Styela clava: one gene and its partners. Each later gene encodes a partner of the first gene's protein in a complex. Links are inferred from orthologs where the notes say so. Each region holds a gene or a part of one and is shown in the gene's direction. Other genes may lie near its edges. The genes, in order: tectonic-like complex member MKS1, transmembrane protein 107-like and meckelin-like.

What was found.
Region 2: tectonic-like complex member MKS1 (region 1) and transmembrane protein 107-like share a complex: the UniProt entries of both Homo sapiens proteins name them as parts of the tectonic-like complex. The link is inferred for Styela clava from reciprocal best matches to the Homo sapiens genes MKS1 and TMEM107.
Region 3: tectonic-like complex member MKS1 (region 1) and meckelin-like share a complex: the UniProt entries of both Homo sapiens proteins name them as parts of the tectonic-like complex. The link is inferred for Styela clava from reciprocal best matches to the Homo sapiens genes MKS1 and TMEM67.

What each region holds. Positions count from the first base shown.
Region 1 is NC_135257.1:11,289,647-11,295,898, forward strand, and holds the start of tectonic-like complex member MKS1, read left to right. Parts: upstream 1-2,650; 5' UTR 2,651-3,034; coding exon 3,035-3,111; intron 3,112-5,632; coding exon 5,633-5,822; intron 5,823-6,252. Other genes in the region: rifampicin phosphotransferase-like, read left to right, coding at 551-609. UniProt on the Homo sapiens protein: Component of the tectonic-like complex, a complex localized at the transition zone of primary cilia and acting as a barrier that prevents diffusion of transmembrane proteins between the cilia and plasma membranes.
Region 2 is NC_135256.1:19,256,704-19,262,955, reverse strand, and holds transmembrane protein 107-like, read left to right. Parts: upstream 1-3,073; 5' UTR 3,074-3,130; coding exon 3,131-3,217; intron 3,218-3,531; coding exon 3,532-3,700; intron 3,701-3,930; coding exon 3,931-4,027; intron 4,028-4,542; coding exon 4,543-4,609; 3' UTR 4,610-4,933; downstream 4,934-6,252. UniProt on the Homo sapiens protein: Plays a role in cilia formation and embryonic patterning. Requires for normal Sonic hedgehog (Shh) signaling in the neural tube and acts in combination with GLI2 and GLI3 to pattern ventral and intermediate neuronal cell types.
Region 3 is NC_135263.1:15,829,874-15,836,125, forward strand, and holds the start of meckelin-like, read left to right. Parts: upstream 1-1,963; 5' UTR 1,964-2,830; coding exon 2,831-3,014; intron 3,015-3,415; coding exon 3,416-3,495; intron 3,496-3,736; coding exon 3,737-3,833; intron 3,834-4,829; coding exon 4,830-4,914; intron 4,915-5,491; coding exon 5,492-5,618; intron 5,619-6,252. UniProt on the Homo sapiens protein: Required for ciliary structure and function. Part of the tectonic-like complex which is required for tissue-specific ciliogenesis and may regulate ciliary membrane composition.

The sequences.
Region 1 (6,252 bases):
TCACCTATGGCTCCTAAAAAGCAAAAATAATTGCGATATTGTGTCAAAACAGCTGTTGAACAAAGAACACATATTACGCCACACTGTAAAAGTGCTGATTACCGGTGGTAAATCATGTTGCGCAATCTGTGACGTCAGTCCCGTTTCCTTTTAGCCGCACCTCGTATATATATGAAAAATGCTTTTCTATTTAGCAAAATTTCTTAAAATCAACCTGTTTACTAGTTATATGATTTTACAGGGTCAATTTTTCTAGAAAACAATTAAAATGGTATATATGGGTAATTTTTGAGTAGAATAATAATAATATTACCTAATCGAGTATACAATAAAAAGTGATATTCGACTATTTCAAATTGTAATGCCGTAGAAAATGTATATTAATGTGGCAATTCATATATTTTTAGAAAAATTAATTTTTGCATTGAACCACATCCGGGGTATATATACTAGTGCAGGAAAAAACACTTAATAACGAAAAATAAAAGCATTTACTGTATTATATTACCCAATTAAGTGCTTTTGATGAAAATACTGTTTTTGTTTTTAGGAGATTATATCATGATCGACGGCGGGAAAGGAATCATTCAGAAATTGTCTTCGGAATAATATTTTATTTTTAACAACGTCTATATGGGAAATTCAACCTCAATCCGTGATTTTTAATGACCTTGTATTTTGATTACCGTTTTGATGCAATTTTGCCTTATACTCCACTGTCTCCTATTTGATAATTGTACTTTTATCAGCAATCGTGTGATATCACTAATTTTCTGTTATATATAGAATAAATAAATATAAGTTTCATTTCTGACACCAACGTCTCTGTATAGTATATTTATACGGCGTCCTACCTAATATTAGCATATGGGATATCAGTATTTCGTTTGTTAAAATCACACCTCAGTCGATGTGACAGGTCCCAAAAAGCTGAAGAATCGGCTGTTACACACACACTTATATATATATATCTAAAGGAGCAGATCGGAAATTGAGGGGTGTCTTGCGAATGCAGACCAGAAAAATGAGTCAGATTACCTTCATTGTATTTCAATCATTTATTGGGATCCCAAACAAACTGGAATTTTTGCTAATTTGATTTCTCAATTGCTTCGTGTCTCAAATCGGCCGGTTCAGCCCGGGAAAATATCGCAATAACTGAAATCTACCTTATTTTAGCATGGCATTGCAGAATTAAATTTGATCTATTCTGTATTATATATTGTGTTCGACTATGGATTATTAAGAATTCATATTATATAAGAGAATTATCAGACAGGCATTGTGACAAAACTAGGAGATTCTGGAACATATTTTTTGACATCACAAAGCGATAGAGCCGAGGAGTAATAGAATGAAGCTTTTCGTCCGTTCGTACATACTAGTTACAGTATTTGTCATATTTAAATCGGACTAGCATAGCTAGTTTTTGAAATACTAAGGAGATGCCTAAACCAAAAAGGGTGATGGCTGATGAGTATCGTAGATTTCAACTTGTGCTGCATGTGAGCAGCCGTTCAAAGCCCGCAGAGACAACATGCAGCATCACAATTCACAAGTCACATTGAATGTATATTGGCATTGTAGCCTATGTGTTGACTTTTGAGTAAAAATTTCAGGCCTGATTAAGTGAAAAATGCTATATGACTCGCACGGAAATGCAGTGAAAATATGTACCTTTTATGGCTCTCTTGACTGAAAAAGTTCCCGACCCCTGCTCTACAAGCAGGAGTCGCAGTTCTTACTACTTCATGGCAGCTCCTGCCACGAACGAACCGCGGCGTTTCTTGCCATGGTTTTATGGCGCTATTCAGTAATCAGTATTATCGGTATATTCACGAAGTCATGTACCAGATTATAGTTTATCATGCAGAATTATATCTACCTAAACCTGAAATCCAACCCCAAATTCATCAAAACTGTATTCATAAAAAAAATGTTCCAACTTACCCGATATATGTCACCATCAGGGGTAGCCCTGCCATTACAGCCGACATGACTTGATTACGGAAGCAATATTTTACCCGCCATTGGTTTTCAATTTGCTGCCGTGGTACCGGCATCTCGCCATTGGTTTGTGGCAGCTAAAAAGTCAGAAGCCGTGGTTTGGCCATACCGGCCATTGTTTGGAAATCCCACCATGGTTATTCGGCAGCTTCAGACGCCACAAAATACTTGAAACTGCACTTGACAAGAAGCCTTGAACGTCTAGGACGGTGGCAATTTGTGCTCCTGATATTCTTGAAATTGGCACTGAAACGCTAGCGATCATGAATCTATCGAATTTTTTGTGGGAGTGCACCTTCTTCATAATCCGGAAAAGTGCTCTGCTGATATACCTGGTACTTTAATCAACACTCGGTTTTTGCGTTTTTGCATTACAACTAACGTTCCGCACAACTGAATAGATACGTGTGATATACAAATCACTTTCAATTAATAGGAAAGGAAATGAATTTTTAAAAATGCATATCAAGAGATAACTTGAAAATAAAACAGATTTAAATTGAGTGCGTTTAGAGCAGCGACTCCGCTCAGACTGAAGACACGTTTTGGCTAGGGAATCAAGTACCGTCAAAAGATCCTCTTATTTATACTAATAGAACATGACATTTTATAGACATAGAAACATCTGGTAACATAGAAATAGCTTTGCTCTTAAAAACGAGTTTTATATAATTTCCACTTTTTCACGTGGACTGGCAGTTTATCTATTTTTGCAGGAATAATTTTCCACGGTTGATAACATGTTTTACGCCGTATAAAAATTGGGAAAATTGAAACCTTTCTTTACTTTTTTACGACCAAAAGATCACCTCGCCAAATCTATTTGACCCGGGCCACTCGACCGCTTGATATATTATGTAGAGATGTGTCAATCAAAACACTTATCGTGCCTGGGATTCGACAAAACTGTTTAAAGCAAGGTGGACAGTACCAGTATTTCTGTAACCAGCTTTCAGGACATACCGTAGTTATTCGTGTTATTCGATTTTGAATTATTTGGTGCAACTGATATTTAACCTCACAACACATGGACAAATCTTATGAAGTAGATACTGGTGGTGCAACATATCGTTCGGGAGACCCCATTAAAAATTTTCGTCTCAGGTCAGTATTTCATCCTTTATTTTCTTGTAATTCCTCTTGCTATTCTATTACCAATGTATCATTAATAGTGTTTATTTATTGAACTCATTTATTCATCATTACGACGTCACAGTGACGTAATAGAGCCCTTCAAACTATACGAACTGCCATCCAAGACGAGCACCCGAAATCGGAGGCGCAGTTCTTACCACTTCATGGCAGCTCCTGCCACGAACGAACCGCGGCAGCTCTTGCCATGGTTTTATAGCGCTATTCAGTAATCAGTATTAACGGTATATTCACAAAATAATGTACCAGATTTTAATTGATCATGTGGAATTATATCTACTTAAACCCTAACCCTAACCCCAAATCAATCAAAACTGTATCCATCAGAAAAACGTTCCAACTTACCCTATATTTGTCACCATAATAGACAGCCTTGTCTTTACGGCCCACCTGCCGCGGTTACGGCAGCAAAATTTTACCTGTCATTGGTTTTCAATTTGCTGCCGCGGTAACGGCAGCTCGACATTGGTTTGTGGCAGCTAAAAAGTCAGTTGCCATGAGTTTGGCCGTAGCGGCCATGGTATGGAAATACCGACATGGTTTTGCGGCAGCTGCAGATGCCACAGAATACTTAAAACTGCACTTGCGAAATCGAACAGTTATTTCTCTCGTTTTCTCGTCGCAACGATTTCAATAGGAGAGAGACCGATAACGTCAGTCAGTTCTTTATCGTCGGCGCCAATGCCATTTCGGTCGATCATGCGTATATTTGGCAAGCTCTATGACGTGATTTTGATGTCGTAGTGATTTAATTTTTGGATGGCGTAGTCAGATGGGGGTTAGGATTGACATATCAAAAAATTGTTATGCTACACCCACTAGAAGTACGTTAGGTACGAAACTACACGAGACCCGGTATTTCAGTCTTCTATAATTATGCAATAGTAATTTCAATATAGATCTAGTTCTTACTTGATTGAGCCAATCTGATAATTTTATATTATATTCCACCCAACTCCAGAGGGTAAAAACAGAATTATTTATCCTAAATATATTTTCAATATTGTTTTGATAATTATTATAACTGAAATTACCTTAAAGAGACAGAGTATCAAATTTGGCGTTATCACAATCCCAACATTTTAACCATTAAAAAATCCTACACTAGTTAGACAAAAGCGAGACATGGTTAAGCTTAGTTTCGATAAGATTTACTGATTGGTTTACACTTCATCTTATAATAGATCACATACTTCATCTGATTAATAGTTCATTTTGTAAGTACCAACTAGCCTCTTACTCTATTTCCTAAGCAAGCGATTTCCAAAATTTTTGTTCTTGCTATGCCAAATTGTCAGGGAAAAAACTCATTTCATGACTTACACGAAAACGAAATTGCTGCCTTTGAATAAAACATAATTTTGTGATCGTTATTGTGTATTTTATGCTTTTCGGAGTTTGTAAACGTGAAAAGAATAAAGGCAATATCAACAAAACAACATAACATTTGTACTTATTTATCTAATGAGAGATGTGCGGCTTCTTCTCTGAACATATCTCTTCAAATATTCAATCATATATTTGTTTAACATAATTTTGTTAATTTTTCTGGCGCACTTAGCAAATGCCACCTTTGGGAGCCGCTGTTCTATGCTATGCCATAATTTAATTTATAGCATTTACAAAAAACCTTGAGGTAAGCAAGCAATCAATTAACTCTGTAAATAGGATTTTCACTATAATTAAACTGTGCTTCATATCAGTGAAATTTATATTCAAGTGCACATATATGATGCTTATTAGGCTATACTGAATGAGGAAAAGTTTATTGGTAATTAGTTCACAGTTTTTAGTGAGTCGAGTTGATCATTTTTGGAGAATGTCCGACAATAGTTTTAGATCTTATTATTTATGTCATTTACTACCTACTCATTTACAAGCTGTCTAAGAAAAATATGCATTCCTAAATATTGGATTGAATCCGAAGTCCTAAATGTGTCTCTTATGACCAAGATCTTGTTTGTTTTTTGTCTTCTATGTATATTGATTTACTTTATTCCGATTATTTTCTAAATATTTTTATGTATTATCACAATGCTCCTGAGCTTAACACAGAGTATAGTCTCGTTTTTTCACTTACCTATTCCATGTCACAAGGTGGCATTGCTTATGTAGTACTTTAAGTCTCATGTTTTCAATCTCATTTGAGGTTTTCATAACTTTTAAGTATTTCAATCCAGTGTTTTCGTCTTGTGTATTGTAATTATTTTGTACCATGGTGGATTTCAAAAAAAATTATTATCTTATCGAAAAATAATTTAAATTTGACCTTCGAATATTCATCCATTGATATTATACCCTGTAAGATTATCATCATTATTTTCATCTTTTATTGCTATTACAATTGGAAACCTATCAGAAATTTAGTCAACAATTTTTTCTATTTATAATATATTTTGTAACTGATGGAAAATACCTACCCGCTTTAGGGAAATCAATATAACTAAATTAAGAAGTTTAACTTGTTTTGCAGTATCAATCTCCAACGTGTCAGTCCAGCAATTCTAGGATTTCTTTCCTCTCGTCCTGCAACAGCAGGAGATGCAGCAGGTGACAGTGGCACTGCTGTGTCTGTTTCTAGCACAAGCATCAATGAATTTGGTCAAACCATTCTTGAAACTGAAAATTTAGATTGTAGTTGGCAACAGAAGTTCTTTTCAGCTGTGAGTAATGATTTTTTTTCACACAAATGTCACCGAAATTGGTTCATTTATATATTACAATGACGTTATACTGATAGTCCATATACAGGTGTTAAAAAAGTAACGCAAAATTACCAGAAGTTAAAATATGCTACTTAAAACATTTAACGACTGACACCTTTTAACAGTATTGAATTACAGTGAAATGCCATTTGAACATACCACGACTGACTTTTTAACAGTTACTTTTTATCGTTGCCATGACGAAAAATTCTACCTTAATTTTGTGCAACTTTTTAACACCCTGTAGTTTGTCTCTATTTACTGGCAATGACTCTTTTCACCTCATTTCGTTGTGTTTTCATATTTCAGTTTGCAGATATTTCCTTCAAAAATTTGTGTCTTTTCTGGTTAGCACCCTGCCTATTTTAGACAACATTGCTTCTATATA
Region 2 (6,252 bases), on another chromosome or scaffold:
AGTAGTATTTTATTTCGTCAACAATGTCAAAATCAAAATACAACATTTCAAAATTAATTTCCAAGGCATTGTGACGAGGCTGTGATGAAGCGACCGTTAGGTCATCGAGTCAGTCACAGCCTTTAAAAAAATATAAAATTACCATTTTTTAAACGAAATTGAGCTGAAGTAGCATACACCGAAAATAAATTAACAAAACTAACAGAGAGGAAAACAAAAACAAAACTCAATTGAATATGTTTAAACCATACTATGGGGGATGGCATGTACACAGTATAATTCAAGCCTAACCAACTGGAATAATGGTCTTTTACAGTTAATGTTCTATAGTAGAGTCGTATGTTTCACGAAAAAGGGACTCTAGCTTCGCTTTAAATACTAGTTCGATACATTGAGTGGCATGTAAAATCGTTAGAGTGACTCAGACAGGAAATAAATTACAATAAACTGTGCAGTAATAATTAGAGGTATGACATCATCAAAATTGTCAATTGAAGCCTTGAATTTGAAAATTCTGTAAATACAATCGTGAATTTTAGAGTACCGGTATCCATTCTTGCTATAATAGTGGTTTTGGTGTTGTTCTGTTGGAAAATAACACAAGAAAACGTTGAAATAAAAATTAATTAACCTCTACTAGACACAAAATCTCGCAAGTTCAAGATTGTTCAATAGAAATTTTGTCGCATAAAAAAATATTATTTTAGGAGTGTGTTTTAAACATACCGGTATAGAACTCTATTAAAAACACGCTATGAAAAAGTCATTTAGGGCTTAATGGTTGACAATTAATGCCCAGGTCTGTTCAACTTATCGTCTGGCAACTTTCGCACCGGTACGGTACCGTACCGTAGCCATACTGCCTTTGCCTAAGTTAGCTCAGAAATTGAAATATACTCAAATACTAAAGGCTGACAGCAGTGTAGGAATTGGAACAAGCGTGTTGTCGGTATTGTAGTGTTTAGAGTCAAAAATTTTGGAATCGGTTGAAAACAAGCAAGAGGATGTTTCGCGATATAATAGAACCGAAATACGGTTATTCATATGCTTATCATTTTAGTTTCTAATTAGCATAATGATTAAATATTTGACAAAACTGATCACAAAATTAGGAAAGCAACCAACGCACGGGGACCGTTTACGAGTTTACGTCAAGTATGAATATGGATAGGATAGGATTTACATATTTATCCCGGGGGAGAGGAAAGGCGATAAGACGGCTTATTCATATGGCGAACCACGGCCTCTCGTTCGGTTACCATTCCAAGTCGGGTATGGGATTAGATTTACTGTATTGTTTGTTTTCGGAAGCATGGACTTGGTGGTGGAGGAAGCCGTAACCGACCAGCGGTTACGTGAACCACCCAATATCCCAGAAGCCAACCACCCATATGAAAATCCATATGTTCACTGGGGTGTTTTATTTGTTCCCTTTATGCATGGATGCATGAATAGAAGAAATCTGTCGTCCTGTGGTGGGGGAAAGTACTATCATATATTAGGAATACCTCATCTTCAATTTACAACCAACGATTGAAAACCAATCTCTTGGGTAGACATAATTGGGATATATGCTATGTACTCACAAATATATTCCCAGGATTAAAAAACATGATCGGTTATAAATAATAAATGAAATTCAGATCACCAATTGTGACCACAACGTTTTTATTCTCATTGCAAGTAATGTTTGTTACAATCATCTTATTTCAACGAGTACCGGTACCAAAATCCTAAATCCCCTTCAGGGTTTATTAATTTTTTTTCGAAGTTTGTTTAAAAATAATTTTTTTAGCAATTGAAATAAACATGATTTTTTTTACGAGGATCAAGTTTTATATGAATATTGACTAAAGCAATCAGGTTAATCATATGTGCGATGGCAAGCGTATTCTTAACGTATAGCACGATGCGCCACACCGCCGATTCGAATATTGTTCTCTGCAAACACCGTTTCACAGGTAAATATTTAATAGATACCCACTCAATGAAATTTATATATATATTGACGGTAATTTCAATACCGGCGCTCTTCGGTGATCCGATAAAGTAGTACAGTGGTACAGACATCTCTCATCAGAAGTTTAGCGATCATATCGTAGTAGTATATATTTACGATCATATGCAGCGACGGGGTTGGTTACGCATTAAATCGAGCGGTTGATCGTGCTCATGAGAGTTAACACTATCATCTGATAGCCTACGTTTCAAATGAGCTAGACTAGACTATACCGATACCGTACAGATATACCGGTACGGTACCTAGTCTATGCGCGATTTAAGTTTAACCGGGGCATAAGCAAAGACGTCAGAATGCTATTACCGGTATCGAACTGTATCACTGTCCTAGATCTCAAGAGTTATCGGTACCGGTTAGCCTATGGTGCATAACTAAAACTTACCGTACTACAGTTACGATACATTGACTATTCACAGATTTAATCTCATTTTGTAGCCTATCTCCCGTCTTACTGCAATATTATGGTGCCAGTACAACTGTCAGACTCATCCAGCAAATGCTAGAATGTGTGTTGCCCATCGGGGAATTCAAAATAAACTTATATAGGCCTACTGTATATAACACAGTAATAGAAGACTATTGATGGAAATATAGTTACTGGTATAGTTACTTTCCATTACTGGTATCCCATATTTAGTAGACTATTTTCATGATTTTGGTGCCGGTATTCTAGTACCATATTCAGACAGTATTGCAAATAAGTTAGGTAATTGGGTTGGCTCACCTCATTCATTAGAATACTTGTGTAAATACCTTGTCCGGTTATGACAAGGCTCATCCCTTGCTATCGTAGTGTGGTTCAGTAAGTTTGTATCATCTGTTTGGTTATGGCTTCCTCTACCCTGCCACCATCAAGTTCATGAACTGAAAGAAACACTCTAGTTATGTATTCCTATACTTGATGAACTGATAATTGGACAAGAGGCAGTAGTTTTCAACATGATTAGGCAAACGTTTTGCTCTCCCCAAGGATAAATATGTTCCCAATATATACACCTATAACTGTCTTTGCTGTACCACAGATTTATTATGGAATATTTTCTGTTTTCACAGGGGTAAGCCTATCTACCGTCACCTGTAAATTGATTCAATCCGCCGCATATTAAAATTATGAGAGCTGTAAGTGGTTTGGTACCAACTAGATTCTTGGTTCTCATAGCACATCTGGTGATTGTCATATCAATATTCTGGTCAAGGGTGAGTATTTTTTCATTATCATATTGTATATAAAATACAATTGCTATTTTATGACAAACGTAGCAACTAAAGTGTATTTCAGAGCACCATGCACCAGAACTCTTAGCACAGTTTTTTGGGACCATCATGTTTACATGTATAGCTTTAAACACCAGAAATTACTACCGTAATTGTTGATTTAAATATTTCTTTTATCAGAAAACCTCAAATTAAATGTGTATTAGTTTTTTGACCTATTTAATTAATAGTGCGTGCCTTTGGTTATATTCTATTCTAGTTTTGAGTAAATCATGAAGTGTTCAATATTACTACAGGATCTGAATGTGAAAGCATGTCTTCCAATTAACTACACTGCTGCAGAATATTCATCCAGAGACACTGAACTTATTATTGGCCTTTCAATAACACTAGCATTCTTTTTGGTTGAATTTGGAGGGTTTATTGGTGGAGTTTCAATGTTCAGTCACACGCAGTCTCTATTTTGTATCCTTTTTAACAAATAGTTTATTTAATTCTATAAAAAAAGATTTTGAATTGCAATAAATGGAAATAGTGTTTAATTTATATCTTCAATGTAAGATTATTGGGGAATAAGACGTTAACAAATTTTTTTATGAAGGCAGGTTGAACTCAAGTGGGATTCAGCAAAATTTGTATTTAGTAATTGAGATTTCACATTGTTTACCTCAACTTCCTTATACTGAACTATTCAGCTATTGCGGCTCATGCAGGGGCCAGTGTCACTCTCGCCTTTTTCGTTTTTGATTCTTGGAGCTGCTCTTTATATTGGTGGATTTTTGCATTCTGTAGGTTAGTAATTATCAACAAAACTTTTATTCTCATATACTTTTCATCAGACCAAGCCACAGAATATTTTAAAATAATGGTGCATCATATGACCAATATATTTTCCACTCTTGTATACTCCAAGGCCCTAAGTCATTTCACTGTCGATCTTCTTGTTTTTCTTGATTTTCGAGACTTCTTGATATGTGACTAATTCTAAGTTCTGTTGAATACAGTTTGTAAGTTTAAAAAGACCTGTTGGAGGTTTTGAATGTATATGAAATGTAAAAAATTCCAGTTATTATAAGTAGCATCATTGTAACAAAATGCCCAACAACATTGTTGTGAGAGAATCTCTACGTTTAAGTCTCTTATAACAATATTTGTTTGAAAATATGATTGTTTTTTTCCGTCTTTTTAATTCTCCTGAATTTACCAAAATTGAGAGAAACAAGCTTATGGTAGCCACTGAGTTTTATTATAATTTTATTCAGTGACAAAATCCATTTCCATTGCTCTGTCAATTTTTTTTTTTACAGTGCCCTTCCAGCAATTACTGAGACTATTGTTATCATCGGTGTTTTAGCATTGAAGAAAAACTTATAGTCAATGGCAAAGTTTTTTTTCAGCGTCTGATCAAATGCTTCCACTCCATGCTGGTCACAAAGAATCTGTTGAATTGAAAGTCCTAAATCATGATCAAATAGTGATCCAGGGCTCAGTCACATATCACAGTTTTGCCTTAAAACTTTTTTAAAATTGTGAATTTCATTCTTGGCATTAGTTTTGTAAATATTAAATGTTAGCACGTTTTAAACAAACTTTCTATTTTAACTGCTTCATATATGAATCAAAAAGTTTGAAATTATTTTTACTTGGTGTTTCGCTAAAGGACCCTATTTTTATATAAATATATTTTATTACTGCTGAGTTCTGAAAATTCTTCCACATTGTCTATCTATCGTGGTCGCGTTTTGTATAAGAGTATTTGCGTATAACGTAAATAAACGTTCGTAATTGGTTTTGTGCGGGACTGGAGAACCGATCGGGTCTAAACTAAGGCTTGTGCAGAAAAAGTTATCATAGGGTTATTTTTAGTCACTCCCAAATTTCGAAAGAAAAAAGACTAATTGCTAGAAAACGAAAGCGAGTCAAATGTTGTTTCACCGTTGACATTAGTTCTAATTTCGAGCGTTTCCCAACCTTTTTTGGTCGCGGACTATTTTTTCACCGGCGAAAACCTTTGCGGACCCAACGTGCGTTTATTGCAACCGCACTTACTCTGTGTGAAGAAATAATAAAACCAAACACAACAGAATTTTAAAATCGAAAATTCGCCGCAATTAAGCGTTTGTTAAACGAGCCGACTTTTTTAGTGTATAAATGGCCTTTTCTGTCGCACAATATTCAATCCATGACGACGAGTTTTTTGCAGATAAACTAATTATAGAGTTGTTATACATGAGAATGAAGGCCAAGTAAAAGTGAAATGGATGTATTATTATTATTCAATTAAGTCATCTAAGGCTAAGCCATAGGTTCTCAAAGTGCTCCGTACGGAGCCCTAGGGCTCCGTGAGAGAAACGTAGGGGCTCCGCGAGCTATTCGATAACTTTTAAAATACTGACTCGGATAATATTGTAACTTTTCAAAGAAGTCTTCATAAAATTTGACAATAGTAGCGTCGAAATATGGCAACGAGGCGGTAATTCAAATATGACATTAACTATAAGCAGGTGCGCAGCTAGGATTTTTAAAAAGGAGGAGAGGGTTTAGAATTGGAATCAGAAATTCCCGTGGAGCATACTTCGCAATTAGGTCATTCTTTAAAAAAAGACTTTTTTATTGGATAACGAGTTTTCTGTTGCGTATAATATTAAATCCGTGGCCGATGCGAACATTTATAATGTATTGTCATAATAATTTATTTGTGTTCATCGTTACTCGCCTTTGAGTCGAAATTACTATTACGATTACTAAAATGAGAGATTACTATTCTAAAATAACATAAAGTAAGTGCTAAACTGCCAACTGAAAATGGATTAGATCGCATTTTGCAATATTAGGATTTGTCGTATTAGGGTTTCTTCGTTCAGCACTCAAGACTATTTTTAATCAAGATATCGCCCTTACGAATATCTCAATATTTACAATTGCGCAATCCATGAAGAATGCGGGCATATTTAAAATACCTTGTTTTGGTTCAATTGGGTTGAATGTAATTTTATTACAATAAAAATTGAGTGAAA
Region 3 (6,252 bases), on another chromosome or scaffold:
AATTGCGATATACAAAGTGAAGTGACGTAAAACAGAATTGCACAATAAATGCGATTTTTACGTCATAAACGATTGTGCAGATCAATTATGCATTTAACCTCTAGGCAGGCCTGCACAACATACGGCCCGCTAGATACTTCTGTGCGGCCCGCGGGTAATTTGGGAACACGCCACTTCTCAGGTCTAACAGCCTAAGCCGGCATTGTTATGCAAGCGCGCCGCTACTCCGATCGTACTCGAAATCGTGAGATTTATGTTTTGCACTAGTTTCAATAAATATCGAACGTTGTGTGAAATTGGTGTGCCCTCCGCGACCCTTGAAATTCGTCGCTCGATCTCTCGCCCCCTAGTTTGGGAAACCCTGATTTAGATATCTCAGTATTCAAACTGAATCACGCTTAAAACAATATCGATATACAATCACACACCTATTAGTGCATATTAGCAACCTATTAATAACTCGTTATTTTTTACTAGCAGGTTATGAAACTGAAGTTTCTTTTTGAATCAAATTTAGAACTTAAAAAAGAAATTCTCGCACAAAAGATATTGCTATTTACTGTAAAATTTCAAATAAATTGAAGCAGATTTTGTAAAAACAATGTAATTTAACAGTCAAAAAAGTACAACAGAGGAAGATCTATCTATTGCTACTAAACGGATTATTTGTCCAGCCTACAATGGAAATATCCAATAATGGTGGATATGACTAAATAAATTGTCATATATATATTTGGGACGATTTTACAAAACGGAACCTGAGTGAAATATTTTCCTGCAGTCAGTTTATACTGCAACACGCAATACCTAATTCTAATAAAAAAGAAATATTGAAAATGAAGGGTGGGTTTTCAAGGTAGATGAACCATTAAATACATATTTGCCATCTCATATGCAAAAATACTGTACCTTGTTTTTACTTAAGAAAATAAGATTCTTCATATTTTTAAGCTCCCCAGTAATGAAAGTGTTTCATTAAATTTAACTGTTTCACAATATTATTTTGATTTGTAGTTCATCTTGTGAAATATGTATGTGGCAAAGTTTGCGGCCCGCCGGGCCTTCAGATTTATGCTTCTGGCCCTCGTGGGAATTTGAGTTGTGCAGGCTTGCTCTAGAGTAACCCCGCATGTTAACATAACGCAATGCATTGCTTGTCAGTTGTCATATCCTGGTCATATCTAATGATGATTACAAGTCTATATTTACTTTTTTTAACACATCAAAAATTTTTGGTTATATATATCATAAGGAATTTTAAAATAGTTAATCCCGTCCAAAAGGAGGACATTTTGACGTTTCAGAGCGTCCTCGGAGGACGGAAAAATTTAAGCGGACAAATCCTCCAAAAGGAGGACGTATGGTCACCCTACTATATAATTGTTTGAGCTTTGTACCCAAATCGGTACCGTGTTAGCCTATATGATACAGATCTAGGGTTAAAATCCACACAAGGTCCATAGAGTTTTTTTTTTATTACAGAAGACTATCTAGCAATAAATTATGAGGAAGCAAACAACAAACGCGAAAAAAGGTGTACAACAAAGACAATTTGGAAAAACCATATACAAAATACAAAGCGAGAAGTAAATGAACTATTTTCACAGAAGTGAATCAGATAGCATTGTATTTCCCCGACAATTCGAGTGACAACGTCTGAAAACGGCATTTAGTCAGGCCACATCCTATTAACTGCAAAAGAAAATACTTATATCGCACAATGGACATAGACTTGCTACCGGGCTGGCAGGCCACTCAGGCGCAGGACCTTGGTCATGTTCGTCAGAAATGTTTTGTTGCGATATATTTATACTCATTACTAGGTGTCGCTAATGGGAAACCTCCTAATTATCGCGCCTCTCCACATTCCTTTAATTAAATCTGTTGTTGTTCTATTAATGGCTTTTTACTTTTAGGTTAATTTCATACATTGAATTGTTACTTCGCTATTTTGCAGCTAAAATTCAGTAGGCCTATCAAGTATTCGCTAAATGAATGGATGAAGATACCGCTATTAAAAAGAATCTACGATACCTGGAAATGTTATTTAGTATCTAATGTGTATTTGCACAATCAAATTCAGGTGCAACTTTGCTTGAATGCGTTTATTATATTAACCATTTTTATACCCAACCTGTATTATGTAGCCTACGTAATTCTACTTCTAGCAGAATTTTTCTTTGCCCAAAAAGTTGATGCCTAATCGAGCGTGGCAAGGCGTTACGTTATATCAAGCGGTTCAGCGAACACAACAACATTGTACTTTCAGATCTTTGGTGTATCAACAGAGGGACGAATAATACATTAAGGTGGAAGAGTTTACCCGGAAAGTATTATTTTCCACTGTCAACTCTTTGATATATATTTGCTCTGTTTATTTAAACAGAGCCATGGTTGGTTAGGACGATTAGGCTGATTCTAATATCGGTTTTTATTTAACTTATTTCGTTTTATTTATCACCTTATTATTTAGTTATAATTTTTTATTTTATTCGTTTTTTTATCAATTATTTTATCATTCGGTAAAAATAAAATGAGCTCGTGATGAACTTCTACTTGAATAAAATGAAATTTTTTTTTAACATGGACCACCACTTGTGATTAATTCAGTAATTGAAGTTTAGCTTCACAATATCAATCTGTAAATCTTCAGATTTTTGAATGGTCAGTGAGCCTGAGAGATATCTCTGGAAGAAAGGTTCGTAATGTTCAACAAGACTTTTCAATTACCGTATCTGTATATTCTAGAAAATAAACTATTACTATGTTTAACTGATCATTGTTTTTTTTATGAACCAGTGACAATTGTTAATACAACATTTCGAAGATAATGTTCAGTTTTTTCATCTATTCGATTTTTCTTCTGTATATCCAATTTCAATGTGTGAGATGTCAACAGTTTGGATTCATTTCCGTGCAACCATCAGCTTGCTCTACTGAACAATATTACAATTTTGGAATTTTACAATGTGGAAATTGCCAAGATCCAGTGGGGATGCTGCCAGATTCTTCAGGTGAATGCGAATAATCTTAAAAAGTATTTTCTTAGTTTTTTGCATATCTCAATATCTCGGCGGTGTTGCGCTTTGTGCTAAGCATTAAGAATATGCTTGCCACCGCACCCCTGTTTACCCTGTGTGGGTTCATAGGTACGAATCCTGTGGGGTAAAATTGCGATAGGACTGCTGGACTTCACGCTGTCATAGGGCGCTTCAAGTAACCGCTCGGTTACGTCTTTCTCTACCATCAAATTCATGCATCTGAAAAAATTAATTGGCTAACTAACCCCATACCAGGCATGGACTAGTAGCCGAATGGGAGTCCGTAGTTTCCCATGTGATATAGCTGCTTATTAACTTTCCTTTCCTATGGAATAAATATGTAAATCTTATATTATTGATTATATATTTTTCAGGTTACTCATGCACATGCAGACCAGGTTATAAAGCAGACATCAACAATGTCAGAGTTCTGTCTTGTCAAGCATGTTCAAGCGTAAGTTATTTTTTGTCTTCCTACTAATATGTCTATTCAAATATTTTTTTCACATTTACAGTTTTTTCTAGCAAGTTATATCAATACTAGATTTTTTAACTTTCATTTATTGATTTCATATAATGATAAATCATACTCCATCCAAAATTTTCGAGTCATTTGTTTTGATTGTTTAATAGTTTTTCACCTGTTAGTTGTGAGTAATTGAACATGAAATAATCCTTAATAATGTTGTAAACAGGGAATAACAACTCCAGATGGATATTTCTGTTCATCATGCTCAAATGGAACGGATGTAAATGGACAATGTACATGTGCAGTGGATCAACAATTGATTAGTAAGAAAAATGATTTTTATTTATTTACATACAGTAGTACTTGGCACATATTGAATAAAACAAAAATCTTTAGCTTAAGTTTTCATATTGTTTTTTTTCATAACTTTTCTGTAAAATGATTTTCATGTACTTTGGCCAAATCATACATATATGGGGTTTGCGGAATATTTTGAAATGACTCACACTTCACTGCATACGATAATTTCTTCAAGTAGGGCTGATTGCTATAAGAAAGTATTTCAAAGAATTGATAATGAACTAATAGAGTTTTGAATTCAGTTTGACATTGTAATAGGCAGTTTGACACCACAAGCTAACGAACGAACTAAACGACACTTTGTGTATTTCTGTTGTTATCATTGATATTCATTTATGTAATATGTTTATATATGAGCTACTTTATATGCTTCATTTCAATATTTGAGAATCTTTTAGGCTTATTGTGGCTTTTAAAATTGGTCATACATAGCGACACCCCTGTTTTGGTATTGCTGGAAAACCATTTTTCTCAAAAGTACTGTCATACTGTCAGTATATTATATTCAGGACAAACCAGAAAGCCCCATTCAATATTTTTACAATTATTTTTCTTGTGAAACACCTGATTTCATGTGAAACACCTGACTGATTTGATTAAGAAGTATCACACCTATTAGATTACCAAATTAGGTTTCATAATAGGCTCATTGTATCAAGTTTATCAGATCTCAGAAATCAAAGCATGATTCTGAAATATTCAATTAATATCAAATTACTTCTGTGTCAATTATTTAAGATTGTCCATCCATCCATGATCTTGGTGTATGTACAAATAGATAGTGCCATGAGTGTGCAATCACTAGTATTGAGTTATGCTTCTTTCATACAAATTTCATATAATAAACACACATATCATATTAACCACGAGTTTTGTTAATATGTTCTTACTTAAATGCTTATTATAAATCAGTTTCAATTTAGTAAAATGAGAAAAGTAAAATATAAAATTGTTTTCAGTACCTTCATATTCTTCAGTAGTAGATTCTGTTGGAACTTGTTCATCTTGTTCTTCAACTTCTTTGGTGAACACTGGAAATTTGAAGTGAGTTAAAAATAAATGAAATATTGGTTTTAATTGTAAAATATATATTCAGTAATTGTTGCTTTTACTTTCTTTTATTTCAATTCAATCATTACTTTCGTAAATTCTCTTACACTTACTTTGTTCTCTCATTTCTTCTATGATAAATAGATATGAATGAATATAAAGGTCAGCATTGGCAATGGATTTTATTGAGAGTTTTCCTTTTTTTGAATTCTTTTGAGCGTGTCATAATTTTTTTAATTTTTTTGAGATGGTTCAAAACATGTTGAAAAGTTTTTAAGATATACAGCCCTGCAAAAAATTGGTTAGGTATCGTTCAAAAGTTTTGTCAACAACATCTAAGCGAGATCTCGTGACCCTCAGGCCTCAACCCTTGCAGCTTCTTCTATTTAGAGGAAATAGTTGGCACATTATTCTAAGTGTTAGCAAAATCTTTGCAATTCTCATTACATTTGTAATTACTCTGCGTGGCTTTGCCCAGATCGTTATTCTGACTATATGCTGCCATAGTATTTAGTCATTTAAACGATTTTCCTTGCTTAAATTCATTCTTTTTATAATTTTTTTTTTGTAGCTGTGTGCCATGTCCGGAATGTTGTTTCAATATTACATCTGCAGCAGTGTTTGGAGGCCTTTGTTTTAATTCAACAACAGCAGGGAATCTCAATGGCATCAGTATACCAACAACAACTTCTGATACTGTAAGTTTTATCATTTTTATTAATTAATATGTCTTGTGTATTGTGAAAAATATATTGACTTTCTATGAATTATTGTTAAGTTCAGAGTTGTTCAAGTCTGGTGGTAGGTAAAGAATTGATAGTTTTTCTAATGAATGTAGTTGATTCTACGAGTTTAGTGAATTTGAGTTTTTAAAGTGGCTTGAGAGGGAATGTGAATCCATGCAGTATACATTAGCGAGGAGGTTTAATCAGTTCGAATTTTTCTTCCAAATATATTTAACTGTTGATGTGATGAATCAGTGTTCAAAAAAGTGAAGTTGTTAGACATGAAAATGCTTTCAATTCAGCTGTGTAGTATATCATCACATTGATTGAGATAGCAATAAAATCATTCAAATTGAGAAGGTACAGTAGTAATTCAATAGAATTGTTGTATCATTACTCTCTAATCTTTAGTCTTTCGTGCATGTGAGCATTTTCAAGTGAGCTAAAGGTATTAAGAAAGATTGTAGAAGATTATCAGGTGATTAAGCATTTCATTTTATATTCGAAAAAATTATAATTGATCCATTGTCAGAATGGACCAATTTTATACATGTTAATGTCAAAGAATAGCCTACCCTTTTTTTTGTCAAATTAAAAAGGTGTTTAT